Linked DNA regions of Nothobranchius furzeri. The protein of the gene in region 1 purifies or fractionates together with the protein of each later gene. This does not show direct contact. Links are inferred from orthologs where the notes say so. Each region holds a gene or a part of one and is shown in the gene's direction. Other genes may lie near its edges.

Region 1 (11,279 bases):
ACGCTACATGGCCATCATAATGTAGCCATTGTCTCACGACTCCGCCGTCTCCAGTTCGCCACTTTTCACAAAATCTTCTGGTTGCCACTGGTCCTGGTGGTTTTTCTTCCAGTTCGACGAGTTTTCTTTTGGAAGACTGGCTGACTCCAGTTAAAAACCACCACAATTCACCGCTAGTTTTAACACGAAGCTAACGGCTAACTTGATAAACTGATTGAATGGGATAGGTGGAAATGACGTTGGATGCGGCGTTCACGTTTGTGTACGTTGCGTGCAGGCGGGAGGAGTATCAGAAATCCATGGAAGATGACTGATAAACATAACTAATTTGGTGCTAACATTTACTCGCCATGTGGCAGATAGAGCTAAAAAATTTACTCACCTAATGGAGCAATTTGCTCGCATTTGGCGAGTGGCGAGTGTTAATTTCGGACCCTGGCGGTCTACAAAGCAGATTCAGATGTTAAATCAAACCTTTCCGCAGTAGTTTTTCTGGAGCCATGAGCTTCTTTTCTGAAATAGAATTCGTCTCTGGTTTTGGTTGAGCTTCCTTTGATTTTGATTCCTCAGCAGGGGAGACAAAACCAGATTTGAAGTTCACATAATGGTCATTCAGAACCTTCGTGGCCGCTTCACCCGAAACCACACCTGAATGAGACAGTCTAGTTTAGTTTTAGAAGCATCTGATGTTTTTTAAGCTTTAAGATGACAGTGGTAAGCACCTGTGATCACAGGGATGGGCTCAGGGCTTGGCTTGGGAACAAATTTAGGAGTCTTGATGAAGGAGGTTGCACCATCAGACTGGAACGCTTTGGTGGAAACGCCCTCAGAACTGTGGAGGGTCACGGTGGCGGGGATCTGGATGGTAGTGAAGCCACTAGCTGAACCTCCAGGGTTACAACGAAGCTTAAACTGTGCAACGTCACCTGCAGGACACACAGAGGCCTTTACAGACACTTTTTGGGTGTGTTCAGTTAAAAGCTTTCAGACATATAATCCTCATTTTTTACGGCTAAAATAAAATCCTAATGTCTTTTTCTACGTGCATCACATTGAAGAAGTGCAGACTGACCTCCAGGTTTGAGGGAAGCCAGTCGCCCGTTGACCTTGAAGCCCAAAGTAGGAACTGCGAACTGAAAACATCAGGTGGGTTCATACGACTGTTTAAAATCTACCAGAGAAACGTGGAGCAAGTTGTTACAGACTGAAATAATTAATTACATAATCAAAAGCAGTCTTGGTGGATGTGGGGGGCATGCCGTTGGTCATTTCCTGGTTTGGGATGGGAATGATCCTGGCTTCTGGAAGTTTGCTTGGACCTGTGTCTTCCTCCTTCAGATCAAAGATATTCCAAAACACTGCACACAGATAAACAAGAGCTTCTTTCAGCTGCCTCCAAATATAACATTATAATTCTATATTACGATTATAAAACTATAATAATTAGTTAAACCCAAACATTTATCCAACTGACATCTTGGTCATCAGTTTGTTTCTGATTAGGTCTTCTGTCACACGTGTGACCCCTGAACTCTCACCGATATTGGGTTTCTCCATTATTGCTTCATGCCTCTCAGGTGAAGCAGGGACCTCCTGTTCCTGTTCAACACACTCCATCAGAAGGCCACCTTCTACTTCTGCCTCCGTTTTCACCAAGTCCACACCAGCCAAGAAAACAAAACAAAACAAAAAGCATGCAGAACGTTAATTATAGGCAGGATGTAAAGCTGATGTGCTTTCTGTGACTACAAGTGTCTAAAAATATTAAGAGACATAATTAACTGGTTTAAATCACTACTATTAAAATGTACTAAACCACTAAAGATAACATCATGACAGTTTTCATAGCAACTACTATGTAATAACATTTTAAAGTATTACAAATTGGAGATATTAGCAGCCTTAGGATGGAACAAATAGGAGCTAAATAAAAAGACAACTGAGTAAGAAGCTGAGTGATGTGAATAATTATGAGAGATGTTTACATTCTCTAAATGATAAGAAAATAAAAAGTATTGTCTAGGTTAGCATGAAACAAGTAGGCAATAATATTATGGTAAATAAAAGTCATTCTTTCCTACAAATCTGTGACACCATGACCTAAAGGAATCACTTAATTATTTTTCCTGTTCATATAAACTGGGACATGTGTAAAATAATAAAAGGGGCAGGTTTTTTTAAGTTAAAAAATTAAATTGCACAAAAATAATAAATAAAAATAACTACTTTATTTAAATATAAATTATACCATTAGATTACATAAATAGTGTTTAAACATAGTTTTTAGATCACTCCTGCATATTTATATTAGGATAACACAACAAACTATGAGTCTTATATGGAAAAAAGGTACAGCTGTGGCTTTTATTGGTCAATTTTTGATAAATAACCTTGTGCAAAATCTGTTTTCACCCTGGGGATGTGGTATGAATATCCATTTTCATAATTTCATTGGTTTAAAAAGCCAAATCCCAACTTAAATTATTTATTAGTTGGTATATGTTTCATAAAACTATGATTTTTCTGAGGTCAATAGTACAAAACCATAAGAAATTACTTTCTATAAAAAAGTTAAATCTTGCACTAAATGCTAACTATAGCGCGTATAAATATTTAACTGAAGAAAAAAGATGTAACTTAATAAATCTGTATATTCCCACATTTTAATATAACATTGCAAAATTAACTGGCGCTACTCGGTGCTGCTGCAAAGATAATCTTCAAAAGTTCACACCCATCATCTTCATTGAATTTGACTGTTCTCGCTAGTTTAATGCTATTATTGTTTGAATTCTGTGAAACTTCAGTCATATTTTATACATTTAGTTTTCAATTTGATACATTGTGGTCGTAACAGGAATTACACAGGGTCTTTAAAGTTCTCCAAACTTAAGAATTGATCTTCTAACTGACCCACTAAGCTAAAACACTTAGCATGCAAAGCTAGCAATCTAAAGTTCTAGAACAGGTAAAACCTCCCAATTACAGAAATAATCAATGCTAACAATTATTAACTTAACTCTTACTTGTTGCATAATTATCCAAACAAGCACTTAAAAAGCTGCTATAATTTTTTTTAACAGAGGTATTTCTGCACGCACGATCATGTCCCCGTAGCGCCTCCCTCCCCCTCTTCCAGTTTGGAAATTAGCTTGCAGTGCTAGCATGTTAACTAGCCTAGCAGCTAAATCTTTGACTTTATAAACTCTGCACGATGTACGTTTAAAAAAGAATGTCTCTTGTGCGCTTACCTTCTCCTGTCCTTAAGTATGATAAGTAGATGTTGATTCCGTTAAAATTCCAATCATAAAACTTAGAAATTATAAAACTAAAGAATGAAAATGTTTCCTAAACACAATGTGAGCGGTCACCATGCAACAAAATCACATCTGCGAGGGCTTCCGTATCCCTCCGCAATCCGCATTCGCGCTACTGTTACCACTGTTCTGTATTGGCACTATATTAGCGCGGAGTGATATGAACTCGCAGAGATGGAGCAGCCCTGAGAGTTTAGTTACTGAACAATAAACACAAGAATAAAAATGAAACTGCATTTTCTTTCTTATCACTGTACATTTGCTAATAAATAAAAAATACAAGCAGCCTCAATGCGATATGTCAATTCTGACAGAACATTTTCAAGCTACTATTTGAAGGAGAACTACTGTGGATGCTAACCGACGCTAACTCAGATTAGCTTCAGCAAATAGCTTTAGGGATTGCAAAAAAAAAACACAAAATTGCACTAATTAAAATTAGTATATTTTAAATGGACACAGACAGTTTATTTCAACAATAGCAAAGCAGAAATTCTTTTCACAAAGTACGGAATAGTATACCAGCTATTTTGTCAGCTGCTAGTTATAACTAGTGAACAGATGGTCAGCTAGCTTTAAAAAAATCAAGTTTAAAAAAAGGAGATAAAAAAGAAAATAAAATGTCTTTATCAGTTTTGCTTGTTTAATGTCATTTGGGCTTGCTTGACTTGAAGCTGAATAAAACTGTTGCCTAAACTGCCTTCCTACTGTCAATAAGTATCTAAAACCTTGTTAGCAAGAGCTAGCATGTGACTTGCAATTTTAACACATACACTTTACCACGATTAATTAAAATCCATTATTACTGTATTACTGCCACTTGAATGAGAAATGTACTTTGAAATCACTATATTTTCTGTTTGTCATTAAAACTCAACTTTTCAGCTATTTGTAAACATTTTATGAATGCAAAAAAAGGAGAAACGTGTGGTCACGTGACGTACGTACATACGACGCTTATACGTCAGAAACCCGGAAAAGGCTCGCAGAAGTGTTGTCACAAGAGATACATCTCTGTAGATGAAAGGATACAGACTAAAATCTTCTCGACAGAGTTTAGAAAATATTCTACAGCTGATTTTGCCATTTGAGTTGTTTGGTTTTTATTATAGTTGTGTCACTGCGTTGCTATCATGAACTTGACGCTCGCGGTGAAGCAGTATATTTCTAAAATGATCGAGAACAGCGGGCCTGGGATGAAGGTTCTGCTCATGGACAAGGAGACGGTGAGACGCCGGAAGTTAAACATAGATTATTTTTATTTATTTGTAGAACAAAACACCTTGTCGCACTTCTTCATACTGCGTGTGTTACAGTGAAATGCTGCATGTGGTAGTTACAGTTGTGCTATGTGTTCGTAACTGTTTTGACCGTTTCATAGGAACCCATATCTTATTTGTTTTTACAAGTTTTGGATCCCAAATATCAAACGGTTCATGCACCAGTTGCAGATTTTAAGGCAATGAAAAGATAACACAAGACATTTTTTAGTAATCAGTAATAAATCAAAATTTTAAAAGATGACAGAAAACATTTTGGTTTTATTTTAGCAGCTAAAGTTAAAAGCCAAGAAGCAGTTGGAGTCAAATACTAATCCATACGCTGCTGAAACTCTTATTTTCTCAGAGTTTTTTGATGATCGGCACAAAAAAAACCCCATCAATGATTACTGGTGTTCATTTGTTCGGTATTGATCAGTGTATATGTTTAAAATATTCTTCCTTAACTAATATTTTGTATTTGTAAGAAATGCACCAAATCAGTTAGAATGAAAGTAAATATTTCCCATGTGTGTATTCAGACCAGTATAGTGAGTGTGGTGTACACCCAGTCTGAGATCCTGCAGAAGGAGGTTTACCTGTTTGAACGCATTGACTCTCAGAACAGAGACAGCATGAAACACCTCAAAGCCATTTGCTTCCTTCGTCCCACAAAGGTACTAAAATCTGCAGCTTACTTCTGTGTAAAAGTCACATTGATGATAATATTCATATTTTATTTATGTTTCCTGCAGGAGAATGTGGAGCACCTGATCCAGGAACTAAGGAAGCCAAAATACAGTGTCTACTTCATCTGTATGTCACTGCAGTAACATTGATGTCAACTGTCTAGTTTCGTGTTTTATTTGATCAAACCAGCTGACCGCTGTGTTTTTAATTCAGATTTTAGTAACGTGATCAGTAAGAGTGAGATCAAGGCTCTGGCTGAAGCTGATGAACAGGAGGTGGTGGCTGAAGTCCAGGTGAGTTTCAGGTGCTAAACAAACTAGCTTCCTGTTTTGTTAATGTTGATACAACACCAAGAGCTTTTATGTTTGTGTGTAAATATGTGTGTGGGGGGGTGTGTGTTTCTGCAGGAGTTTTATGGAGACTTCATTGCCGTGAATCCTCACCTATTCTCCCTCAACCTGCAGGGAGTCGCCAGGGTAAGAAAGATGGAGGAACTAAGTTTACTGATGATTTACACTTTCTGCCTGACAGTAAAAACAAATAAATAAATGCTCTGCACGCCCTCATCCACACTGATGCAGTAGGTGCTTGACAGCTGAAGGATATGGAGATCTGCAGATCGAAGGGACCCACCAGGATTATACATCATAGTTTTCAGAGATGTGACTAGGGCCCGGCCCATTTAATGACTTGTACAGAATTCATACTGCTTTGAAATCAATTCTCTACTGAACTGGAAGCTAATGCACGGTCCTGAGACTTGGTGTAAAGTGATCCCTTTTGTGTTTATGTTTATTTATTTAGCAGACACTTTTATCCAAAGCAGCTTACAATTTATAACCTATAGGGCATGTTGTGATCTGTGAGGGAAACCGTAGCACCCGGAGGAAACCCACGCATGCATGGGGAGAACACGCAACTCCACGCAGAAAGGCCGCAGCTGAGTTTCGAACCTGCAACCTTCCTGCTGCGAGGCAACAGTGCTAACCACTGCACCACCATGCAGCTCCTTTTCTTAGTTCTGGTTAGAACGCTGGCAGCTAAATGAGCTGAAGCTGTCTAATGGACTTTTTAGGAATCTGATGAGAAGAGCATTACAGTAATCAACCCTGCAGGAGATAAAGGAATGTATGTTTTTCAAGATCTTGATGGGACACAAAGTCACAGACTTTAGCTGTTTTTAAGATGACAAAATGATGACTTCACTATCGATTTAATACGTTCATGGAAATGGAGGTCTCTGCTCATGATTACACCAAGATTTTACGCTTTTAGATTGAAGTAAATGGGTTTTGTTTACATGATCTGGATTTGCCAGATCCAAGTGCATCATTAAAACTGCACCATAATGCACTTTGTGCAGAATGCAAACTATCAGAAGTAGTGTGATGTTTAGTTTGTTGCTCTTCAGAGAGCATCTTCTAAACTAGCACCTTCCCTGCACCTGTCCCCCTTTCTACTGTCCACTCCTTTGTTCCCTCCTCTCCATGATTGATGTCAAGTTGTTGATGTTATTGTTGTTGTTAGCCTCAAGGGCAACATGCCGATTATCACTTGTAAGTCGCTTTGGACAAAAGCGTCTGCTAAATACATAAACATAGTTTAGGCAGCTTGAGTCCTGCTATTTTTCATTTTATTTTGACACACACCACATCTGTGGCCTTTTTCAGCTGGTGACATGTTGATTTAGCTTCTTCTGGAACATTTGTGGCATGTGAAGGTCGACTGGTGTGCAGCACATCTGGATGCGTCTGAGCTTATGTGTGTTTGTTTGTATGTTTTAGGGGCGGAGCTGGGAACCCACCATGTTGTCTCGCTGCACTCAGGGTCTGACCTCCGTCCTGCTTGCTCTAAAGAAATGTCCAATGATCCGCTACCAGCTGTCCTCAGACATGTCCAAACGTCTCGCAGAGACCGTCAAGGTTTCCATGACAACAACACTCCCACTAACACACATCCTGTAACGTTTGCTTTTCAATTCAAATTCAATTCAAAATACTTTATTAATCCCCGAGGGAAATTGATTGCTGTAGTAGCTCAGAATAATAATAATAATGAAGTCATCAAAGAGTTGTTGTATATTACAATGGCTGTTGGCAGGAAGGATCTCCAGTAGCGGTCAGTGTTGCAGTGAAACTGAAGAAGCCTCTGACTGAAGACACTCTTCCGTTGTCGGACAGTCTTGTGAAGAGAATGTTCAGGGTTGTCCATCATTTTCTTGATTCTCTGGAGAATCCTTCTTTGCATTATCTCCTCCAGCGGTTCCACAGTCGTCCCCAGAACAGAACCAGCCTTTTTTATTAGGCTGTTGAGCCTTTTCAGGTCCCTGCTTCTGATGCTACTACCCCAACAGACGATGGCTGAAGAGATTACACTCTCAACAACAGACTTGTAGAAGATCTGCAGCATCTTGCTACAGACACTGAAGGACCTACGCGTCCTCAAGAAGTGCAGTCTGCTGTGTCCCTTCTTGTAAACGGCTTCGCTGTTCTTTCTCCAGTCCAGTCTGTTGTCCAGGTGAACTCTGAGGTATTTGTATTCCTCAACCACCTCCACTTCTTCTCCCATGATGGAAACAGTGTTTGACTCCACCCTGTTTCTTCTGAAGTCTAAAATCATCTCCTTTGTTTTGTTCACGTTCAAGGTCAGGTGATTGTTTCCACACCATGCCACAAAGCGCTCCACCAGCTCTCTGTACTCAGCTTCCTGTCCATCTCTGATACACCCGACAACTGCAGAGTCATCTGAGTATTTCTGTAGATGACAGGTCTCTGATTTGTACTGGAAGTCTGAGGTGTACAGGGTGAAAAGGAATGGTGAGGGTACAGTCCCCTGTGGTGCTCCAATGTTACTGATCGCCTGGTTTGATGTGCAGTTCTTCAGCCTCACAAACTGTGGTCTGTTTGTCAGGTAGTCTTTAATCCAGGCGATAGTTGAGGCCCCCACCTGTGTCTTCTGGAGTTTCTGGCAAAGTACATCAGGCTGGATTGTGTTAAATGCACTGGAGAAATCAAAGAACATGACCCTCACAGTGCTGCCTGCTTTGTCCAGATGACAGTGGGTTGGTTGAAGCAGCTGGATGATGGCATCTTCAACTCCAACTCCATGACGATAAGCAAACTGCAGCGGGTCCTGGTTTGTTCTAGTTCGCTTATTCAGGTGGACCAACAGGAGTCTCCCCAGGACCTTCATGATGTGGAATGTCAGGGCAACCGGTCTGTAGTCGTCATTGACTTATGGGCGAGTTTTCTTTGAAACTGGAACAAGGCAGTTCACCTCGGTGGCATTTGAACCTTATTTCAGAGGGAAATGTTTGGTCCTAGTGCTTCATTCTTTAGATTTTAACAGCTTTTTTTCTTTAAAACAAGTAGATTTTAAAAAACACGAATGTAGCACAATTTATGTGTAAAACAATCTCATGGATTATAATTTTGTTTATTGTAGAAGCTTGAAGTATATTTATTAATGCTTTTAAATAATTTTAAAGATAGATCATGTTAGTTTGGCATGTTGCTGCTTATTCTCTTCCCAGCAAATCATAACGAAGGAATATGAGCTGTTCGACTTCAGGAAGACTGAAGTTCCTCCTCTCCTGCTGATTCTCGACCGAAGCGACGACGCCATCACACCGCTGCTCAACCAGGTGATCAACCAGAAATCAAGCTGTAAACCCTGGATTTAACTATAGTTTATTTAGTAATAAACTTTTAAGATTAAAGCATTTAAAAAAATTTGTTTAGAAAATTTGTTTTGAATTAAAATGTTATATTTGTAAGATTATTATTATCATTAGTATTAGTAGTACTAGCAGTAGTAGTATTTTAAATGAACTATTTTTTCATACTTTTATGAAAAATTTAGGATTTGAAGTATAATTTCTCTAATATCAGCAAGTTTTTAATAATTTCAATATATTTTATAAGCATTTTTTCTTATTTCTTTTACAGTTATCAATTGTTTTAATAGACACATATACACACACACACATATATATATGTATATATATATATATATGTATGTATATATATATATATACATATGTATATGTGTGTGTGTGTATACACACTAGGGGTTGTATGAACTAGTCGACTTCACTGCTCTGTAGTGACTTTTTATGCCTGTCATCGACTAGTCACTGTCATGTGATAATAAGCGAGACAGCAGGTGATGAGCCCCTGCGCGTCGGGAGGCGGAGGCGACGCGCTGTGCCAGAGCGTCGGTACTGACACCCGCGATAAAACGGACATTTAACCAAATTGTGACCTTTACCCTCTTGCAATTTAACCTTCCCCTCACCCCCATCCTAACCTTAACCAGCTTGCACATGCAAAGCTCTGATCGTTGACTCGCTCCAGACATCTGCGTCCTGAGCACGGCCACAGTAACATTATCAAATTAGGTGTCGCCACCTCAAAAACAAATTTAACACGCGATCGTTCATGTCGCCACATTTCCTTTTATGTTTTCTGTCTTTTATTTGTGCCTGATTGGCTGCTGTGGATCGGGGCACATCACCTGTTTTGTCCTCCGGTGACGCACCTAACTGACGCGGCCGGCGAGCACTCTGCTGTTTTTGCGATCGGTAGATCTTTTAGAACTGCAGTTCAAAGGTAACTCATAAGGTGAATATATATGAACCCAGGTAGCAGTTTTTCTTTAGGACTGAGAGGAGATGCAGGAAGATAATAAACAGACAGGACAGAAAAAGTCAAATAAAAACAAGTTAGTTTTTGTACCTTGTGGTTGCAACAAGGAACAGAAAAGGAAATACTTATTTTAATGTTTAGAGCAGCAGGAACTCTGAGAGGCTGCAGGCGCATTAGTGAGTTTGCGGCCTCTGCGCAGGGGGAGGGGGAGAGGGCTGAAGCAGAAACTACCGCTGTTAAAAGAAATGTGTTTAACTTTGAAAATATGGGCGCAATTTTAATTGTCAAAAACTCCAGCAAACCCCCCACCCCACCCCTTCAGGTGTGTGACGTCATCAACGACTAGTCAAAGTCGACTCGATTTTCATTACTTGACTCGACTTAAAAAAATTAAGTCATGCAGCCCCTAATACACACACACACACACACACATATCACACACACACACACATACATATACATACATATATATATATATATATATATATATATATATATATATATATGTATGTATATGTATGTGTGTGTGTGTGTGTGTGTGTGTGTGTGTGTGTGTGTGTGTGTGTGTGTGTGTGTTATTTTTTCACACCCAGTTGGAGATCTAGATTAAGCATTAATTGTCTTTTAGTGTTTTCCATGATATTTTTGCAAGTTATTGCTTAAACCACAATAATACAATGAAAAAAGTAACGATAATAAACAAATAATGAAGTAAGATCCGTTTGTTTAAACTGTAAATCTGAAATCTAGGTTTTGCTGTCTCTCTTTCCTCTCATGTACAGTGTATTAATTTTAAAGGTGCATTATGTAAGAATGTAGTGAGAATTTTACTGTGAGAAAATCCAAAGAGTCTGATGTTTCAGTCATTTTGGAAGGAAGATTTTACTGGAACATATTTCATATCCAGCTGCCTGCAGGGATTGTCAGTTTTTCTCCTTTCAAAACAAAGGAAGGAGGGACGCAACTGTTTACTATCAGTGAGTGTGGGGTTGTCGTGTCTCCTGCGAGCTAGTACTGCAGCGCCGATGGTTGTGATTTGATGAGGGATGGCAGTAAGCTCCAGAGGTGTTTTAAGTGGTTGCAGTAACCAAATTTTGCCACAGAATGTAGTTTTTACTTCACTTCTACATAATGCACCTTTAATCCTGGACTTAAAATAATCTGAACATAAAACAGTTCTGGTACCAGTGTTGTGCCCGAATGTGTTCATTGAACGATCGTTCGTGAATTTGTTTGTTTTTTCGTAAACGTGAACTGAACTCTTTCGTATTTTGCCTGACGAACGTAAAAGTGAGTGCGTTCGTCCTGGCGTGCGTGAACAGGTTTTTGAACGCGTTCTTTCACCGTTCTAGCTCCAGATCTCCACG
Region 2 (9,435 bases), on another chromosome or scaffold:
AGATTTAAATGCATCGATATTAGGGTTGCATTATTTGTTTATAGTTTATTTAGTAAAGTGCATGCCTCTCAAACACACTGACTGCTCACTATTTTTCACATGAGCCCTTAAATAATGCAAATCATAATCATCTGTTTTACCCTTTCAAGATGGTTTAATTTCAAATTATTTCTGAACTTTACAAGAAATAAATCCTTTCCACACATTTATGGCATCATCCTACTGAAGCTCGGACACTGATGGGCTCTTCAGAGGGCTCAACTCAAATGAGCCAGATCCCTCAAGACCTCCTTTCTTCCACCTTTGTGCTCCACAAAATTCCTGTCACGCCTAACATGACGGATTTCATTAGGAGGATTTAAGAAGAAAAAATACACACAATTTGTGAAATAAGAAAAATTAAGTTTTTAAAAAGTGTTATTTGACAGTCTTTACCCAAACCATATAAAACACTGCATTTTGAACAATCTTGCAACAAGCTCATGCACATTTTTAATTAAGGTAAACGTGACCATCTAGTTAATCCAGAGTTGCACGGAGTTTATATTTGTGTGTTTCATGTTTGAAACAACATCCTCAATGTAATTTTAAAAGTTGGCTTCTGCAAATCTTTTAGAAACTGTGTACCCTGCACACATTTCAGAATAGGCGAACTTTTCACATTTTTTTAATCCAAATGCATTTATAAAGAAATAAAAAGGCAATGCTGATGTGCAAAAAAATACATGAATAATCAGCAAAACTGCAGATCTTATAATTAAAGCAATTTTCTACTGAATGATCGGTTGTCACTGATTTCGGTAATATTGTTTTGATAAAAGAAAATGCTCCAAGAAATCTGCTTTATGTTGACGTTCAATGTGATATTAAGATAAATTAAAATTACTCAATGATAAGTGTAATATGAGAGAAAATTAGCGAAGTGAAACCATTATTTTATTGTTAGTTCGCGTTTATTCTCTGACGTTTGTCCCTTTTCGCTCCCACTAGCAGCGACGAAAGGCCGGTCACATGATCAGGTGGGGCTGCTGCAGCTTCTGTTGTCTAGCTGTCAAGAAGAAAAAACTGTCAACAACAGCAATTCTCGGAGACATTTTGGCCTAAAATTGAAATATTTCATGAAGGGCGTAAGTGTTTGTTTATGCGTGGTCAGACGTTGTTCTGTCCTCTTGCTTTGAGCGGTGTGGTTGGAGAAACAATAGCTAAAGAAAACGAGATTAGCATTCTTAAGCTAACCTGTTGTCTTTATGTAACGGTGATTAAATTTGACACATTAAGCTAATAGAAACACTCAAGACATAGCCAGAAGTCCACGTGTTGCATTTCTGTAAGGAGCTAACAAATGAACTTAATAACGTGGTTTTGACTTAAAGCTAACCGTAGCTGGTTATGTCCCGGTGAAACCTGATTAAATATAGATTAATGCTAATGTTTCATTGTGCAGCTGCATGAGTTTTCTTCAGAGCAGAAAGTGGACATTTTCTGTTCCGTCGTGACCTAAAGGTGCTCAAATAAATTGGATCTCTATTGTAAATTTCACTCTAACCCCAGGATCTGGTTTAACTTGGTATACTCACCAAATCACACAGTTTATTGCAGTTAAATCTATAAATTGAGGTTATGCTTGGAAATTATTGTGTATTTAGTCTGTTTGATTCGGTGTCTATATTCATCAGGTAGTTTTTCCCCTACAGTTGTTATGGAGTCGATTAGATTTACTTTGAACACCTTGTGACATGTTGGCCCAAGGAGGATCATGCCACCTCACCTCCTGAACAACAGAACATCCTTCTGTCATCATGGCCTCCAGCTACCCACCTCCTTTAGAGGGCACCGGTGAAGTAAAGGAGGGCTTTATTTGCCCTCTGTGCTTTAAAGACCTTCAGTCATTCTACCAACTCCAAGGACACTATGATGAGCACTCGGGGGACGATGGTCATGTTCGAGGACAGCTCAAAAGTAAGTCCTGACCTGTGTCAGTCATAATCAGATTATAGTTCATTTGTAACCCATGAAAATTTTAGATATGAATCACCTTGGATTTATTGGCATAGTTTTTGGGAGGGGTCCAGCTGCATAAATAATTAAAAAGCTGCTAAATTACTTTTTAAAGTTGAACTACAATACCATACTGCAAAGATCAGTTCTAAGATAGTAAATAGTTTTTTCTTATTTTCAGAAGAATCAGGTAAATTGACTCACCGTTACTTTGTAATATTTATGTAAAACTAATCTAAGCTCCAGTCAGTCACTCGTCATCTTACTGCTGGATCTTGCATTGGAGGATTTGGTTTCTGGCTTTCACTTGACAAAGTTCCTGTTTTATTCTCATATTTGTGTGACTAAAATTGAAGTTTCCATTCATCCCCTCTGTCAGGGGCGTGTCCAGGGAGTGGCCTGGGGTAGCACATGCCACCCTTGGAATCTGATTGGCCACCCCAGGTGCCACCACACTATTTAACCTTTAAATAGGCTTTTCATTGTCCACAAATGGCTTGGGGGTAAAACAAAGAAAGCATAACCATTGGTGCCACCCATGCACAAAGCTGTGCCTCACCTGGGCCACCCCATTTTAAAAGATCTGGACACGCCACTGTCCTCTGTACTTTTCACAATTTGCCATTAGTGCAGAGCACTTACCTCTGTGTGAATTAGACAATGCCTTTAGTTGTTGGATAGGTTTCTTTTCTTATTGAAATCAGCCTTTAAAAACCAGAAGTGTTTAAGTGTAACGTGTGCAGTGGTGTTACTACTGAACATGAGCAGAATGACGTTTTATCTACAGGTCAAGGTGAGTTGTGCATAAACGTTGGTTCATAAAGGTTCCACATGCATGCTGGGTTAGTGTTTAGGATTTAGAAAATCAGTGCATGTTCCTGTGTTTAACACATTCCCTCTGATTTTTCATTTGTTTGTGTGTGTGTGTGTGTGTGTGTGTGTGTGTGTGTGTGTGTGTGTGTGTGTGTGTGTGTGTGTGTGTGTGTGTGTGTGTGTGTGTGTGTATTTAGGTTTGGTTCAGAAAGCAAAGAAAGCCAAAGATAAGCTGCTGAAGAGGGATGGAGATGACAGACCGGACACCGGCAGTTATGAGTCCTTCTACTACGGCGGAGTGGACCCATATATGTGGGAACCTCAGGAACTGGGTGAACAGGACTTAAATCCTCTTTTATTTGTTTGGGCTTTTCACATCCAATCACACTTTATTAGTAAAATCATTCAGATGTAAATGCCAGGAAGAACAAACTTTATTTTTACACATTGTGTTTATTTATTTATTTTTCTTATAGGAGCAAGAAGGAGTCACCTGGAGTTTTTTAAGAAGCACCGAGCAGCCCGGATAGACCATTATGTCATTGAAGTCAACAAGCTCATCATCAGACTGGAAAAGGTGTGCTTGAACCACAATGTTCCTCCTGAAATAAGTTTAAACAACCATTAACCTTAAATTTGACGTTTCAGTTGACAGCGTTTGATAGAACCAGCTCAGACTCTGCTAAAATCAGAGGTTTGTATATTTTTTGTTATAACTCAGTTAAATCTTACCGTGTGGATGCTTTTTATAATATGTCACAAATCATATTGTGTTAACTTTCTCTGTAGCCATTGAGAAATCTGTAGTGCCCTGGGTGAATGACTCAGACGTCCCTTTCTGTCCCGACTGTGGAAACAAGTTCAACATCCGGAACCGGCGCCACCACTGTCGCCTTTGTGGATCCATCATGTGCAGAAGGTGCATGGAGTTCGTCCCTCTACCTTTGGCTCGTATGTATCAACATCTTAGAAATCAAAGAAATCCAAACGCAGGAGCAGAAGCTCGTTGCTCAGTGCTGCTATTTCCTTCTTTTGTTTTTATTTATCAGAGAAGCTCATTAATGGGACCCGAGAGGCCCTGTGTGTTCCTGGAAGTCCCAGCCAGACTCAGTATCAGCCAGCAGGAATGGGCTCCAGGAGGGGCAGCATCAGCAGTTTGAGCAGCGTTGCTTCTATTCTGGAGGAGAAGGACGATGAGAAGATCCGCTGCTGTCACCACTGCATGGACACGCTGCTGAAGAGACAGCAGAAGTTGGATGAGAAGGATCACGTTCCAGATGTAGTGAAACTTTATGAGGTTGGTCTAACAGTCCCAGAAAACTTCCCTTCAGCTACAGTTCTGTTCTTTTTGTTTACACTGCTGTATCCTTCCTGCCACTTCCTGTTTACTTTCTGGGCTTTCCTGCCAGAGACTCAGGATGTGCATGGAGAAGGTGGAAGAAAAAGCTCCAGAGTATATTCGAATGGCTGAGTCTCTCAAGTAGGCACTATTAAAAAGTATTGATGTAACCATTTCACATTTGTTTTCATTTTAATCTGACAATGTTTTACTTCTTCCTGCCAAAGTGCCGGAGAAACCACCTACAATCTTGACACGGCAGGTGGACTGAGGCTGGAAGTCCAGAAGTACTATGAACTAATTGATGCTCTAAGGTACACATACGCTGTCACTAATACTTCAAAGTGAAACACAGCTGTCTAAGTTTAAGAGTTCAACAGAAATCTTTGGTTTTAATTTCCCCAGCAAGAAGATTTTAACACTAGGAGTTAAAAACAACCCACCGTCGCCCCCGAAAGCACTCCAGCTTCAGAGGATGATACGATACATGGCAACACTCTTTGTCCAGGTGAGACCAAGTGAAGACAGTTGATGGCTTAAACACAAAAAAGCCAAACTGAAGTTTTAGCCAAAGAGGACATGTAAGAGCTGGGAATCGTGGCTTAGTTCAGAAGTTTATCAAAATGTGTTTGATATGTTTGATACAATCTGCCAACCCAATGGATTTGTAGCTACCATCTGGGAAAATGGAGCAAAAGTCCAGTTATGTCAGTAATCCAACTTATGTTTATGTATTTAGCAGACGCTTTTGTCCAAAGCGACTTACAAGTGATAATCGGCATTTTGCCTTGAGGCTAACAACAATAACAACAACAACATTGACATCAGTCATGGAGAGTAGGGAACAAAGGAGTGGACAGTAGAGAGGGGGAACGGGTGCAGGCAAGGTGCTAGTTAAGAAGATGCTCTCTGAAGAGCAGGGTCTTCAGGAGTTTCTTGAAAATTGAAAAGGAAGCCCCTGTTCTGGTAGTGCTTGGAAGGTCATTCCACATTTGTGGAACGATGCATGAGAAGAGTGGATTGTCCTGAGCGTGGTGTAGGCACTGCTAGCCGACGACCCTGTGATGACCGGAGCGGCCGGGCCGAGACGTAAGCCTTTGCAAGAGGATTCAGGTAGATGGGAGCCGTACATCTCGGACTTTGTATGCTAGTGTTAGCAATTTGAATTTGATGCGTGCTGCTAGCGGTAGCCAGTGGAGCTCAATGAACAGAGGGGTGACGTGTGCTCTTTTGGCTGATTGAAGACCACACATGCCACTGCGTTCTGGACCATTTGAAGAGGTCTCACAGTACAGCCTGGAAGACCAGTTAGACTGAAAGACCATCTAAAGGCTCAGGAACCCTTTGCATGTATTTTGGATTCATTAGATGATTAGAGTGTGACACTCTGAGTCTAGAATATTGACTCTTTTTGACTTTTCACATTATTTTAATCATCTGAGATGTTGAATGTGTAGTTTTCATAAGCTGCACTCCATTATCACCATAGTTACAACAAATAAAGGCTGAAATATCTGGATTTGCATGTAAGGAGTCTATCCCACTTATTAAATAAATAAATTAACTTTTGCACCGTATTCTAATTTTTGGAGTTTCGCCGGTATGTGTCAGACCCTCCAGGATGCCCCCAGATGCTCTCTAACCAAAGGGGCATTGTTAAGTTGAAATCAGTTAGATAGTTTTACCTGTAATCGGCTCAGTGCTAGGTAAGTGGGTTGGATGTCTTTGCTAGTTATTGTGGGGTTGTGAAAGATCTGCCTCACATGTAGTAGAAGTGAGGATTATTAGAACTTTTGTTCCCTTTTTTGTGTCTTCTCTGTTTTAGGAGAAGCTGCTGGGCCTGATGTCTTTACCCACTAAAGAGAAGTACGAAGAGCTGAAAGACAAGAGGAAGCAAGAGCAAGAAAGGAGGCTCCAGCTAGAGCGACTGGTGAGAATAAGTTCCAGTCTGATGTTTTTTCGCTGGACAAACTCGTTTCTAAATCTGGACTTTTATCTCTTGCTCAGCAGGGAGCTCAGGAGTCTCTAAAGAGGAGACAGGAGTCTGAGAAAAACCGTCCACCAGCCAATGGGGAGCTGCTACGGGCCCCTCGAGAACCACGCATGACTAAAGCTGGTGGTTGGTTACCTTCTGCAGACTCCGTCCATGTAGGTAGTGACCTGGAAGACCCCCTCCTCCAGCAGATTGCAAACATTGAATCATTCCTTAATCAGGCGCGTGAAGCCCAAAGAGCAGACGAGGTCGCCATGCTGGAAGAGAACTTACGGCAGCTGCACGATGAGTATGACCAGCAACAGACCCGTCTCGCTATTGAACTTTCTAAGAAGCAGGCTAAGGAGGAGAGCTTACAGCAGGAGGAGCTCCAGCGTCTGGAGGCCCTGGAGAGAGTGCAGTGGGGCTCCAGGTTCAGCACCCAGCTGTCCTCCACCTGTCCATCTCTGGACATCAGCCCAGCAGCAGGTTACCAGGGTGAGCAGGACACCACAGGGGTCCTGATTAGTAAAGCCGATGGAAGTCCATCAGCTGTAAGGGCATGCTCCTCTCTTACAACCCAAGAGGAATCCCCTCCAAGATTAAGGAGTTTAGGAGGCCATGTAACGCCCCCTAGCAGTGAAGGCCAGAGCAACACCTCCCTTAACCCATTTGAAGAGGAGGACTCTACTCCCATTGAGGAAGATCCATCTAATCCTTTCTTTGAGGACATCCAGAGGGAATACAAAGGAGTAACCAACGGGAAGAAGGAAAACAACCCATTTGATGAAGATGCAGACACGGTGGAGGACCAGCAGGTTGAGGCTGTACCCACAAACCCTTTTGAGGAGGATGACACCGACGCCGGTAACCCCTTCATGGAGGCCTCTGGAAATTCTCCTGAGGTGTCGACCAACCCCTTCGATGTGGACGAGGATGAGGTTTTGCCCGACGTGGACATGATTGAGGAGGAACTGCTGCTGCAGCAGATCAACAACATTAGAGCTTACATCTTTGATGCCAAGCTGAGCGGCCGTCTTGATGAGGTCGAGCTCTTGTCAAAGAATCTGAAAGAGCTGCTGCACACTTTACAGGAACAGAAGAAGAAGCACTGATGCATTTTAGCCCCCGATCACCTGCTACTTAACAAGTCCCATAAGGCTAATCACTTTACACAACTAGCAACCCTGCTAAGCAAGGCTAGTCGGGCAGCCTGATTAAAGGGATAGTTATTTGTTTGGGGAGGCTGTGTGGAGTGTTTATGAGCTGTTGGTGTACTAGCTGCAGTAGAGTTGTTATAGCACATTTTCATTGTGTTGGCCAAACCAAAATAATTAATGCTCAGAAGGAGAAAAGGGTTTTTGCTGTGTACAATAACACTAAACTAAAAAAAATCTCATTGGTTCAAGCAAATGTTTACACAGCAGCCCTTTGATCCATCTCAGCTTGTGCTTAGAGCAGACTGCTTGTATTTTACAAACCCCAATAAAAACAGGAATCCCTTTAATCATGTGAATAAATAAGTATTAGACTTACTAGCTGGATTTAGTCACCAAACACTTCTGTGTCCAGCTGGAGTCCACCGCTGCACTCGTGCGAAGCTCTGAACAGATCATTTGTTCAGGCATGAAGACATGCACACAATAGTAACAGCGGTGCAAAGGTGAACAAGTCTTTGGTCTCTGATTGGTCAGAACATGATTTAGCTTTCTAATAAAAGCTGTGAACAAAATGTTACCATTGCTGCAGCATTAAAATCTAGCCGTTCTAACAGGGTAAAGAACAAAATGTCTCCTTTTTTCATCAAAACAATATGCCGACTTTAATTTCAGCATTTTGGCATCCCGCTGGTCAGAGGAAATTAAAATCAAAGGTCCGTCTTACAGCAATGAGTCATTTCAGTGTAGAATAGTCATTTTAAGTTTTCTAATGCTGTTAATAAGTAAATGTAAATATAATAGCTGAGATCAAGTATTTGCCCAATAACAGCTGTTAAAATCTGCCACCGTACATTTATTAATGTTAAACTGAATCCAGATGTTGTTCAGTAACAGTATCCGTGTTTGTATCCTGAGCTGATTTTTATTGCACTTCATCTCTGACACGAGTCAAAGAAAACTGCATTTGAGTTTCCACAAAAAGCCGAGTGTGACAAAACTGTTTTCCGTGTTCGTCTGTTCCGTCTGGGAGTTGGTGGCTGGACTCGCGAGGATCTGCGCTGTCAAAATCCTGTTTGTGATGCATTTTTCTGTTCAGCTCAGTTTGTTTAAGCGGCAAACACTAGGCAGTGGATACTGTTGTCAGGACACCAGACGGCTGTAATTGAGGAGTAAAATATGTAAAAATCCTGAAATCCTGCTGTGTACAGAAAAGGGACATACTTGTCCTGATCAAATAAACCGTTAGATCCAAACAGTTCAGACTCTTATTTTAATCAGCTGACTCACGCTAAATAAACACTAGCTGGAGTCATCATCCAGCTGCTAAATGTGCCCTAAAACAGTTTATTGTGCTTTCTGTCAGGATGTTTATGCTTCTGTTCAAACCATGTTTGGTTTCTTCATCTGTAAAGATTAAGCATTTTTAATTTTGTAACGGTTAGACGCTGATTTCACACCTCTGCTTTTAACAAAAGAGACAAACCCATTTTATTAACGCAAAACATTTCCATCGCAGTGTTGATTAAAAAACATTAATAAAATATGGTGACCGTTGTCGCTAACTACTGTGGGCAGCAGGGATCAGCCATGTTTCAGCCTGTCTTGCACATGCTCAGTAGGATCAGGACCAGAAAGGTTGGGAGGCCAAGATAACAACGAGCACTTGAGTCTTTTATCTGAGCAGTTTTTCCTGCAATGAGGGTATGTTTGGGTATTTACAGAAGCCGGTCGTGGGTTCGGTGGGCTTCTGCTGCTTTAGGCTGGAGCTGAATAACAGTCTGTTGTTGAAATGCAAAATAAACAGAAAATATTTTCCAGTAAAACTCCAGCTTCTCACTCCTGTGCCTCTGCCATCCGAGCCCGATATTTTCCCGTCATCTCCTTAGGCAGTGGCTTGATGCTGGGACACGGTACTTGGCCCTCCACTTCACAGATGCACTCCCTCAGACAGTACTTCTTTGGGCCAAAGTTGGCGGGGTTGGAGGCCTGCATCTTGGCCTGAGTTTCAGATTCTAACACTTCACTGTTGAGCAAAGACAAAGAGATTAAGAAACAGAAATGAAACAATTTTAGAGGTTTAAAAATGATCTGAACCAACACCACCCACAAACTTACTCTGATTTGCCCAGGATTTTTTTAATATGTTGTGAAAT
Region 3 (11,198 bases), on another chromosome or scaffold:
TGTTGCTTGAATAGAGTTTGTTGGAACTGGGGGCCCTGTGTTGCAGCCCGAGTGCTCAACACAACATTAGAACCTGGTTTTCCTGTTAGGAAGGCCACATTCTGAGCAGCAGAAACTGGAATTTGTTGAAGCCCAAGAGCCTTATGGGCATCATTTTGCATGGCCTGGGGAGCTGCTTGTTGGGGCTGCGACTGTTGTTGTGGTTTGAAGAGTTTACTATGAATGGCTCCCCCCTGTGCGGGTTTGGGCTGAATGGGTGTTGGTGTACGCTGGATGATCACGTTCTGCATGATCTGGCCCGGATTTTGCGTTTGTGGTGCCACCCCTGCACTCAGAGGGGTACTTCCAAAGCCGACAAGCCCAGCGGGAGCGGTAATGGTACCACTACCGCTGCTGCTTGTGCTGCTGACACAAACAGCCGGTCCATTTAAAGCTGGAGATCCCAAAGTCGCTTTGTTGCCTTGGATTAGAAGTCCACCTCCCGAGGCTCCAAGTCCTGCCTGAGAACCAGCAGCTGATACCTCCGAACCTGACTGGTGCAGCTGGTATCCACTCATGGCTTTAGCCAAGACTGGCTGCCCAGACTGATTGATAGTCATCACGGTAGGCTGGCCCACAACCTGAATCTGTCCGATACCCAAATGTCCCGACTGACTCCCGTTGGAGAGAGCCTGGAGACTTGAAATGGGCTGAAGAGTCACGTTTCCCAGGCCCACAGGCTGCATAAATGGCTGAACGCTAATAGCTTTGTTCATAACCTGGGACTGGAGCTGAAGGCCCTGCTGAGCGAGCACTGAACCAAGCATGTCAGCTGTGGCGTTGGGGGGAGTAGCCGTGGTGCTCGGGGCAGACCCGGGAAAAATCGTCGCAGCTCCACCGACGCCAATGCCTACACCAACAGGTGTGCCTCCAGCTCCAGCGAGGCTGGCATCAGGCAGTGCCTGAACCACCTGTGCAAGGCCTGGAATTCCAAAGGTATCCAGGTCCAGCTCGGCACCTGCCTCCTGCAGGCTTTGCTCTGTGATGTTGGCCTCAGCCAAACTCTGCTGCAAGATGTCGCATGTCTCGTGATTTGTCCCAATGCCATTGCTACCACCTTCTCCACCTGGAGATCCACCCAAGATGTCATCATCCTCAAGGAAGTCCAGGTCAACGCTGACTCTCGGCAGGCCTGCTGATTCGCTGGCCGACAGCTGGACTGCAGGCTGGACCTCTGGAACATGTCCCTTTAAAAAAGAAAAAGTGAAACCAGACATGATAGCGAGGAACATGACTGATTGGAAACAAAAACAAAAGCCCAATAAAACATCTCGTACAATTGCAGCGAATTATAGCATGTTGACTGTAGATCTGTTAGTGGAAAAGGGAGGGATTTAGGGAAGCATGCAACAAAGATGGATGGACAACAGCAGGAAAAAAAAGTGGGGGGCTTTACTCACCCCAGTGGCAGAGAAGAACGAGCTGGAGGGGTCACTCGAACCATCCAAAAGGTCGTCAGTGTCCAACTACAGACACACCCACCAAGGGTAAGACAGACAGAAACCAAAGACACCCAAACCAGCAGGCAAAAAAGTCACCAGGACAAACATACAGACCATCAAAACAGAGGGAGGGCAAGGCAAGGGCAGAACATGGTTCAGAGAACCCAGAACGTAAAGCATCAGTAAAGAGATAAGCTACAGAGGAACAAAATGACAGGAATAACTCAAGAGTTGGGAAACGTTAGTAATAGGAATTATTGTTCTGGCAACCCAAATGCAACCATTAGGCAGAGGAGTTATAAAAAGTTTAATGAGAGCAGTGAGGGATGCAGGTTACAGGGTGTATCAACTTGTGAGCCGAAACTGATTTTATTAGAGATGCAAAAGCAACAAAGATAAAACCTGAACAAGTCACTCATCAGTGGAGAACTTGTATCGTGAAGCTTTGCTAAATGCGGCCATTTGTTAGCCCTTCTCATACTTACATGGGTCTCAGATCCATGAAGAAAGTCATTAAGAGCTTCTGGGTCGCTGATGGAGAAAACAACAGATGTGTGACACAATGACACATAACCGAACAATCTGATATAAAATTTCCTACAATACTAGAATCAGGTCTTTCACGCTGTCAGAACATACTTACCAAATTACATCTAGAAGGCACCTGCCGTCTTCATCATCCATGACAACTGTTGAGATGAAAAACACCTTCAAGCTCGGTCATGACTTGTTCAACAATCACAACCAAAATACTCAGTTACATTTTGTATAACATGGTTATTAAGAATTACATGGGGTTTGTCTTAGGTTTAACTTCATAATTATTCTTGACTTTCTCAAACCACATGCTGACTAAATTTTAAACGACATTTTCATATTTACTCCAGCAAAACTCGAGCCATTAAAGACATGTAGATGCAAGATAAAGACTGACTTTCAAAAAGTCTTGAGCCACCGATACAGGCATTTAAACAATCCAAGCGAATAATTACAAATATTGTTAAGTGGCAGTTTTTTGCAGTAAGAGATGGCATGGCACACACCCCAAAAACATCCGGGTAATTATTCAGTAATCATCTGTGTCTTCTTTTGAAGAAAGAGTTCTTTAGTGGAAGTGAGTCTTTCCCTTTAGACATAGGTTTTTTTATTTCCTCCCTGATGGTAAAAAGCTATGAGAAGTCTCCATAGGCCAGCAACAAACTCTTTCTGACTTATGAATAAATGTTTGACAGCAAGAAACGTTCAAAACAATGAAAAAATGTATTCATATACTTTATACACAAATTTTTTCTTTGGAAAAAAATCTTAAAGACCACTCAATGCTATCAGGCATTTAGTTTATATTAAAAACTATGAATCAACATAGAAAGTAATTCTGAGTTCCTAAAAAACGAAAACTGTCTAACCTAGCGTTTGATTATCAATATCAATTACAAAGCGAGATTTTTCCCCATGTACGCTCGGTATCAAACAACCTTGGTGCGGCCCTGAACTCATCGAGACACGTAACAAAACTTAAAATTTCTGAACACGATCAAACAGCAGACAACAAACTGAAAACGCGCGGTTTTCGCACCGCCTGGAAAGATTTTGAGCGTAAGCTGTCGCTGACTTTTAACCGTGCACAGCTCGTCCAACAACACGAAAACCAAACCAACACAGTTTCTATGCAAATAAATTGTGGACATGATGCAGGAGTCCCAGCTGTCCGCCGATCGCAGCTCGGTTACAGAAAACCAGTGCGCAGGATATGAATGGAGACGCTGCAAACGGAATGCTAGATGCTAGCTGATGTTTTTAATGAGCTTTGCATGCATACCTCAACAAATTCCCCCAACGTACAGTATCTGACAGCAACACAGCTGACCTACGACTCAAATGTTTGAAATTAAAACAGTTTCATCCGTAATTTCAGCAATTTGGGTGCTTTTGGGTTGACTTTCGTTAGCCTAGCAAGCTACCCCCGCTATCAACAATATTCAGACGTATAGCTAGCTCGAGCCTTTGACATTCAAAACAAACCAGAGTGACACAATTTTAACACAAATTACGCACAGCGGCAGTCCGGTTGAGCTAAAACGAAGAAATGCTGTCTGCTTATAGTCGTAAACGCAACTACGTGGCGAGCTATTGCTAATTGCAAGCAGAATATCAGTAAATGTTGGAATACTCTTGGATGAGAGGGGGTATGCTTGGGAATTCGTTGGAAAACGAGCCTGTTTACGGTGTGATGCGGCAGTGTGTCGCTTCTTTTGCGGTAGCAGTGCGGTTCGTGTCTGCTGAACAGTTAGCAGATATCGCAGCTTTGTAGCGGATATTGGGATTAATGGAGAAATTGTTACATTGTAACAAACTCACCCGAGACGTTAGAGGTGCAGGCAGCGCGGGGTCTCCAGGACAGCCTCGCACGGGCTGCTCAACAGGACCCAACTACTGGCAGGAAACGGCAGACTTCCGCTCTGCCTGATTGAAATCCATGTTGTTTATCGAGACTTTCTTTACACACAAATACCCATTCGGAACATTAAACGGTTTTTGAACATTTTTGTTGTGTTAATTAGTGCATTCTTAAATTTGACATATTCTTCATGTTAACTTGTTTTCATTTTTAAAACTCAAAAAACATCAATAGAAAGGCAGGAACAGCAGAGGAAGCCTGTGGGGAGAAATTGCTTAAAATGAAATCATAAAAGAAACTGGATCACAAATGTAAAAAAATATAAAAGCAGTCATGTTAACAAATGCCAGCAGATTTGTTAGATAAATGCAACCCAGTCTTGAACTGCAATCAGATTATATGATTTTGGCTAAGAAAAGAACAAACTAATCTACAAAAAGCCTAAGCAAAATACTGTAACATAATCTACAAGAAAACATTCCTTTTCCATATTTTAAATAATTTTTGTATAGTTCTAAAATACGTGATTATTTTTGTAAATTTTAAAAAGGTATTTGAATGTTTGACTCATGTAGTTACCTACCACAACCCATAGCCCTAAAATATGTTTGTCATGTATTTTTCAACAAAATATTTTACACACATTTAATTCACTGTGCTATAATGCAAAGCCTGGAAAACCACTTAACATAGTTGTTATCTATTATTTATGTTAAAATTGTAAAGATTTCAGCTGACAAACAGTTTCATTATGATGCTAACCCATTTTGATTAAAAATGTCTCTTTATAATGGAACTGGCATTGACTAAAGGAAAGCATTTTCTTATTATAATTCTAATCAATATTCCTTTAAAACTGCACTTTTGAAGATATTTACGCTATTACGTTTTATTACAACATTTATGCTTAAATATTGTCACCTTTAATGTCTGATTGCTTATAGAAAAATAATTGGCTGTTGAAAACAGATAACACAAGGGAACTGTTTTATATAGATTGTCATGAACGCACTGTAATGATCCTGAGACAGATTAGAAGCGATTCCTTTGTTTCTACAGCAAATATTAACAACGAACATGTTTCTTAATTAAATTATCGATTGATATATTGTGTTGCAGCATGGTCTACAATCAGTTTATAACATGAAACATTATAGATTTGTAATGGACCAACTCTGGACCGTACGAGCAGCACCTGAAGGCAGCAGGGCTGTGACCGCCCTCCCATTGTCACGTGACAGAGAAAGCGCTGGCTGCTGATGTGACACTGCTGTTAGCAATACTTAGCAACTTTGTTGACTTTAGTATTTTTTCGCCCCCCTTTAGATTCAGAAAAACAAGTAAAGCAGAATGGATAACAGTGGGAAAGAAAAAGAAGCTACAGCTTTAATGGCGGAGGCGGAGAAGAAAGTTAAATCATCTCAGTCGTTTTTCGGGTCGCTGTTTGGGTGAGTTTTAGTTAGCTGATGTTTAGCTTCTGCTTTCAAGCTGAGGGCCAGCTATGCGGAAGGTGACCACCTAACACCAGGGCTGATGGCTGGGCACAACAGGACTGGAGCTGCTGTTAAGATGTTGTGGTATTGAGAGTATTTGTCTACGGACGTAAGGTTATTTCCCCGGATTTCTGCTGACCATAACGTCTGCAAACAACAAAGACTAACACGTAGCCGTTTATCCCAGTAAACTGAGAAAAATTACACTGAACAAACCGTTGTTTGACATGGACGATAACAGAATACTAAATTCGTTTTTATTTAAGTATGACTGTAAAAAAATATTTTTTTAAAAAGTGTGATCACATTAGCTCTGCTGTAGCACCATCTGCTGGCTGTTCCGTATTGTGCAAATCGTCACAATGTTTACAGTAGAAACCTCAAAGTTGTATCAAATCTAATGAAAATTATTTATTGATATTTGCCTTTTGCCATAAAAATGTTGGTGCGGAAATATTGTCATTATTGGACAACAATCTCAACAGATGAAATACTATCTACTATTTTTATTTTGAAAAGTAATTACTTATTATCCAGTCTTGTTTATTGCATTTACACGATCCTAACCTGCTAATAACCAGTATCTTATAGTTGTTGTTTTTTTACACGTTTTTTCTTTCACACAGGAGCTCCTCCAAGCTGGAAGAGGCCTGTGATCTGTATGTGAGGGCAGCCAACATGTACAAAATGGCCAAAAACTGGTGTGGTAAGAGGACAGTTACTTTCCCTTCCTTGTGCATATCTGTTGATATGTTTTATCTTTTAATTTGTGTTTTCTTTTCAGCTGCAGGAAATGCGTTTGCTCAGGCTGCTCATCTTCACCTGCAAATGCAGAGTAAACACGATGCAGCAACTAATCTCATAGATGCTGGAAATGCCTTCAAAAAAGCAGATCCACAAGGTAAGAGGTCACTCAATTTTACATGGAGCTCTTTGTAAAAGGTTTTAAAATCTGGAAGGAAATACATTTTTGGACTTTTTAAAATTAACTTCATATAAAGTGCAGCCAATCTAATTAATACCTGGTTTGGCAGCAAGTTTGATCCCATGACTGTGTACACTTATCTACAGTCTTTAGTTTACCCCATACTAGCTTAGTTCCAAGCATCTTGTGTGTCTGAAATTTAGCTGTCTTCTATAGACTTACCCCTGATCGAGACTCTTTATTTTTAAAACTAAGGGTAGTTTTTATACATGCAGATTTTGAACAACATCAATGCCTGTTTGCAGCAGTTTATTTGTGCCTGTGCAGGTGGCACAACTCAAAACTAAATGTGATATAAGTAAGATGAAACGTCAAAGACAAATACCAGGAATTCTTGAGCAGTCAGAAATGTTAAACTCCTCAACCTGTGCAGAAGTTTCTGGGTAAGCCTGATTCTGATGTTTAGGGTAAATGTTTCCTACAGAAGTGCATTTAAAGACCAAGTTCACTGAGAAACTTTTTTTTACTTATTATTATGTAAATATGATTGGAAGCTCTGAGTTTTGTGTACAGGCTGAACGTGAAAAAAGTCTTCTACCCATATTTCCTGCATTAGTCGCCCATAGAAAATAGATGGGGAAATGTTTGAGTTAGAAAGTACAGTCAGCTCTACATCAAGCTGTGAATTAACATTCATGGACTCGCCCATCTTGGCTCACGACGGGGGAAGGCTGTTGTTGGTTTAGCACCCAGAAAAGAGCAGAGCTAGTAGACACTAACTGTTAGCATGAGCAACTCCACAACATAGCAGAACTCCTTTAGGCTTGTGTTATTTGAGGAGATAACATATCAGTGTTGCAGAACAGTCAGTGGTAGAGTTGTGTTAATGTTAGTCAATCAGAGGTGAGATGTCCGAACATCAGGAATTCTGCTCACTTCTGCTTCCTGAAACAGGAGCATGAGATGTTGTTTCACAAGCCATTCATGCATTCTAGAGATCACTGCAGATGTATTGAGAAAATGAGTGAACTTTGTCTAAAGTCTGTTTTCTGCAGTGGAAAGAAATTTCCTTTTACTTATTTCTTGTCATTCACTGAACTGATGTTTTTCTCTCAACAGAGGCCATAAACTGCCTAAACCGAGCTATTGAAATATACACGGATATGGTGAGGTTTTTAATACAAATCCCCCTCCTAAGCTATTATAGTTTTATTGATTTGTGTTTTTAATTTTGTTTCGTCCTTGCTCCTGTGTAATTTTAGGGTCGTTTCACCATCGCTGCTAAACACCACATCACCATCGCTGAGATTTATGAGACGGAGTTGGTGGACATCGACAAGGTCAGAGACACAGCTGATGGTTATCACGTTGTTTATATTTGATCAAATGTTTACATGGTCATTTGAATTTTTTTTTTTCGGGGGTGGTGGTGTTTCAGGCTGTTGCTCATTATGAACAAGCAGCAGATTATTACAAAGGCGAAGAATCCACCAGGTAAATATTTGACGTAACACATCTGAGCAATACTTCTGTCCACTTTTGGGTTTAAAGGGAGACTAGGCAGTTTTGGCTTGCTTTTAGCACCCCCTAGTGCCCAATTAGTAGAAACAAAAACAAAACCTATCTACTTGCTGTGCGTTTTTCTTTTTAACACCTTGATCTAACAGCTGAAATGTCTCCCCAGCCTTCATTAGTGTCTACAGGACACAAAATTCATCAATAAACTAAACAGTTTAGCTGTGTTCATGATCTAAAACATGCAGGAAGCATGCTAGAACCAGACTGCAGCATCAGGTATGTCGGCTCACCTTTTCCCCCCGGACTGGCACTCTGAAGTTGCAAATGCGGTATTCTGACCACAGAGGACGGTGGGGGTCTGAGTGACATTTCATTAACCCTGTTAAGGGTCATTTTAGCAAATAATGACTCAAGAAAATTATTTAAAAATACCAAAAAGTTGCCTAGTATCCCTTTAAATAGACCTGAAACAAAAATGTATAAAGATTTAGCAAATGTTGATACTATAATTTAAATTTCACACCTTGGTTTATTTATTTATTTCTCTTTTATATCAGTTCAGCCAACAAGTGCCTTCTGAAAGTAGCGACATATGCAGCTCAGCTGGAACAGTACCCAAAGGCTATAGAGATCTATGAGCAGGTGAGATGATGATTTTTAAACCACCTGTTGCCCCAGAGGCTCCAGTTACACAACAATCTCTGACAGGTTTTGCGTTTTAGGTTGGCACCTATGCAATGGACAGCACACTTCTGAAGTACAGCGCCAAGGATCACTTCTTCAAGGCGGCGCTGTGTCACTTCTGCGTAGACATGCTGAACGCAAAGGTACACATTAGAGTGCGTCTGGCGTTGAGCTGATGTGACATGAGATCATGTTTTGATATTCATCCTGCTGTCGCCCAGCTTGCTGTGCAGAAGTATGAGGAAATGTTTCCAGCCTTTTCAGACTCCAGAGAGTGCAAGCTGCTGAAGGTTTGTGGAGTTCTTGTCAGTAGAATCGTCATTTGGGATCCCTGTGGCCTTAAAAATGAAAAGTACCTCTTAATTCCTGAGTCCAGAGATCTTACAAACATCACAGACCCAATAAAAGAGATTGCTGTATTTTATTTGGAAATGGCAAAAAAGAATTTCGCGTATTTCTAATTGAGGTTTTCCATTTGAAACTTATGGGTGGGACCACCAACTGTTATTCAGATGTGTGTGGGGGCAGGGGCTCTTACATTAGCCAGAGGGTGTTTGCCCGATGGGGAAGTGCAGGATTATCAATAATGCATTGTTTGTTTTTGGAAACTGCATGTACTTTTGTTCTCTACAGAGAAATTATCTTGATTTGTGTGATACTTTTCACAGGTTTTCTGCTTCTTTTTACTCAGATTTTTTGGTAGTTTTCAGTAAGAACTGTTTTCGTTTAAAGGCACCACTGTATTGTGTGTGTACCTTTATGTTTGTATGTGATCGGTCCTTTTGTTGCAGCCTTGCGTTTTAAAATACATCTTTTGTTTTTCTCTAAAAACCAGAAACTGTTGGACGCGTACGAAGAGCAGAACGTGGAGGCCTATACCGATTCAGTGAGTGCAAAAGTTATTTCCTGTTGATTTTTACAGCAGAAGTAAAACGTAGTGCCAAATGAAAGGGTTAAAAAAACTGTTCTACAAAAATAAACTCATCAGTGCAGATTAACAATCCCACCATTCCGAGATCTTTAAGATTTACAAAAATTTGGTTTCATCAAACTTTTGATTTATGTCAGACAGGTGTTCTGCGGTTCTGTAGCAACCAACAACCGATGCGTAAATAAGTGGAGTGGAAGTTTCTGCTTCCTGGTGTTGGACAGGTTTTTTTTTCATGCAAGTAAACAAGACTTTTCTGAGTTAGAAGATTTTTGTGGATGTTTACAGGTGAAGGAGTTCGACACCATTTCTCGGTTGGACCAGTGGCTCACCACCATGCTTCTACGCATCAAGAAGACCATACAGGACGACGAGAGTGACCTCCGCTGACTCGCCTCCCAGTTTCCCCTAATGCTCCCAACAGCAACAACAATAACAAACATGCATCCTCATTTCTGCCTTCAGCTTCTTGCTTACGTTCCTGCAGCATTCTTCATATTATGAGCCTCTGGTTCTGTTTCTTTCACACCGTTTGCAGTATTTATTTTCCTGCCTTTTATTCAACTTACTGTTCCCAAAAAAATTCTTTGCATCATATGTGTGAACACTATGCCCCTGGGTGTGCTTTCCACACACACCGTATGTTAGTTGTATGTTGTTTTGCTACAGGTGTTAATTAACCCAATGATGGTCCTACCGGTATTTACAACTGCAATGCAATACCAAATACTCATACCAGCATCCTTGTATGATACAGATTATATTTTTGTTTCATTGTTAAGTGATGGATGAGAGAACACAAGCATACTAACAGTTTGATCTAATAAATAAATAAATATATTTTGAAGAATATTCTTTAGAATAAAGAAAAGAGCCACCTGAAGCTGATATATTTGGGAATTTGGTTCTGTTTGGACCTCACAGTGCTTCTAATTAAACAGAACTTCCTTTAAGCTGCACGGAGAATAAAATTAAAAGGTTATTTCACAGCTAACACCCTCTCTGCCTTAAACTGCTCTCAGGATGTGAATGGCAAGATTTGACTCCCAACTTAAAAAATTCACTTGCATCGGATTTCACCTCGATTTAAAATGCTTTTATTCCAGAGAATAAAACAAAGGCATGTTTTTGGTCATTGTTTGCATGGTTTGGAATGAATAAGGACTCAAATGCAGAAGTTTTATTTTTTTTGTACTGTTTTCTGTTTCATGTATAACAGGCTGATAAAACTCATGTGGTCTGAAAAAATACAGCAGGGGTGGTTTAGACTTCTTTAGTGGGTTTCTGTGTTATCCATGACTTTTTAAAACTGACTTCACATCTAAAAATAAGTCCAATTTTAAAGCAATTTACAGGAAATTGTTTTATAAACTAACACGGCTTTGATTTGATTATTTTTTGGAATATATGATTATTCTGGCCACAAATGGGCATTTTGTACAAGAAGCACTGCTGCTACTGAAGTTTTCCTGTAAATTACCAAATGATATAGAATTTAAATAAAATCTTGTTTGCTTCTATTTGGAGCAAAATCTGTTTCTCCGAACTTAGGTTGTTACAAAGGCAGGTAAAAATATTTATAACGCAGAAAGCTCATTTTAAAAGGTCTGAATTGTCTAAAGAAAAAAAAACACCAGATCTAAACTGATGTGAAACGCTGTGCTGATGACTGATCGGTTAATTGGATGATTTGTAACGTTTCCTGTCTGAATAAACCGGTTTAATTGTGGGCGGGGCTTTCAACACCTGTTTATAAACCAGATCTCACCTG

What was found.
Region 2: the proteins of vps45 (region 1) and rabenosyn-5 purify together in Homo sapiens (affinity purification with mass spectrometry; 4 studies listed by BioGRID and IntAct, counting the BioPlex papers as one, with this or other methods). This does not show direct contact. The link is inferred for Nothobranchius furzeri from reciprocal best matches to the Homo sapiens genes VPS45 and RBSN.
Region 3: the proteins of vps45 (region 1) and napab purify together in Homo sapiens (affinity purification with mass spectrometry; 3 studies listed by BioGRID and IntAct, with this or other methods). This does not show direct contact. The link is inferred for Nothobranchius furzeri from reciprocal best matches to the Homo sapiens genes VPS45 and NAPA.

The regions. Positions count from the first base shown.
Region 1 is NC_091759.1:9,671,640-9,682,918, forward strand, and holds the start of vps45 (vacuolar protein sorting-associated protein 45), read left to right. Parts: upstream 1-4,303; 5' UTR 4,304-4,450; coding exon 4,451-4,543; intron 4,544-5,118; coding exon 5,119-5,253; intron 5,254-5,331; coding exon 5,332-5,392; intron 5,393-5,479; coding exon 5,480-5,559; intron 5,560-5,673; coding exon 5,674-5,742; intron 5,743-7,050; coding exon 7,051-7,188; intron 7,189-8,798; coding exon 8,799-8,909; intron 8,910-11,279. Other genes in the region: pogza (pogo transposable element with ZNF domain), read right to left, coding at 475-648, 723-926, 1,073-1,133, 1,222-1,358, 1,539-1,641, 3,027-3,035. UniProt on the Homo sapiens protein: May play a role in vesicle-mediated protein trafficking from the Golgi stack through the trans-Golgi network.
Region 2 is NC_091755.1:54,604,143-54,613,577, forward strand, and holds rabenosyn-5, read left to right. Parts: upstream 1-986; 5' UTR 987-1,127; intron 1,128-1,694; 5' UTR 1,695-1,799; coding exon 1,800-1,959; intron 1,960-3,008; coding exon 3,009-3,143; intron 3,144-3,287; coding exon 3,288-3,388; intron 3,389-3,459; coding exon 3,460-3,505; intron 3,506-3,600; coding exon 3,601-3,762; intron 3,763-3,860; coding exon 3,861-4,108; intron 4,109-4,220; coding exon 4,221-4,291; intron 4,292-4,377; coding exon 4,378-4,464; intron 4,465-4,555; coding exon 4,556-4,658; intron 4,659-5,975; coding exon 5,976-6,080; intron 6,081-6,157; coding exon 6,158-7,237; 3' UTR 7,238-8,007; downstream 8,008-9,435. Other genes in the region: mrps25 (small ribosomal subunit protein mS25), read right to left, coding at 9,116-9,305, 9,398-9,435. UniProt on the Homo sapiens protein: Rab4/Rab5 effector protein acting in early endocytic membrane fusion and membrane trafficking of recycling endosomes. Required for endosome fusion either homotypically or with clathrin coated vesicles.
Region 3 is NC_091753.1:46,786,790-46,797,987, forward strand, and holds napab (N-ethylmaleimide-sensitive factor attachment protein, alpha b), read left to right. Parts: upstream 1-5,104; 5' UTR 5,105-5,229; coding exon 5,230-5,327; intron 5,328-5,998; coding exon 5,999-6,273; intron 6,274-7,416; coding exon 7,417-7,463; intron 7,464-7,559; coding exon 7,560-7,637; intron 7,638-7,735; coding exon 7,736-7,791; intron 7,792-8,372; coding exon 8,373-8,457; intron 8,458-8,537; coding exon 8,538-8,642; intron 8,643-8,720; coding exon 8,721-8,789; intron 8,790-9,334; coding exon 9,335-9,385; intron 9,386-9,715; coding exon 9,716-9,817; 3' UTR 9,818-10,383; downstream 10,384-11,198. Other genes in the region: bicra (BRD4-interacting chromatin-remodeling complex-associated protein), read right to left, coding at 1-1,226, 1,440-1,505, 1,967-2,012, 2,125-2,165. UniProt on the Homo sapiens protein: Required for vesicular transport between the endoplasmic reticulum and the Golgi apparatus. Together with GNA12 promotes CDH5 localization to plasma membrane.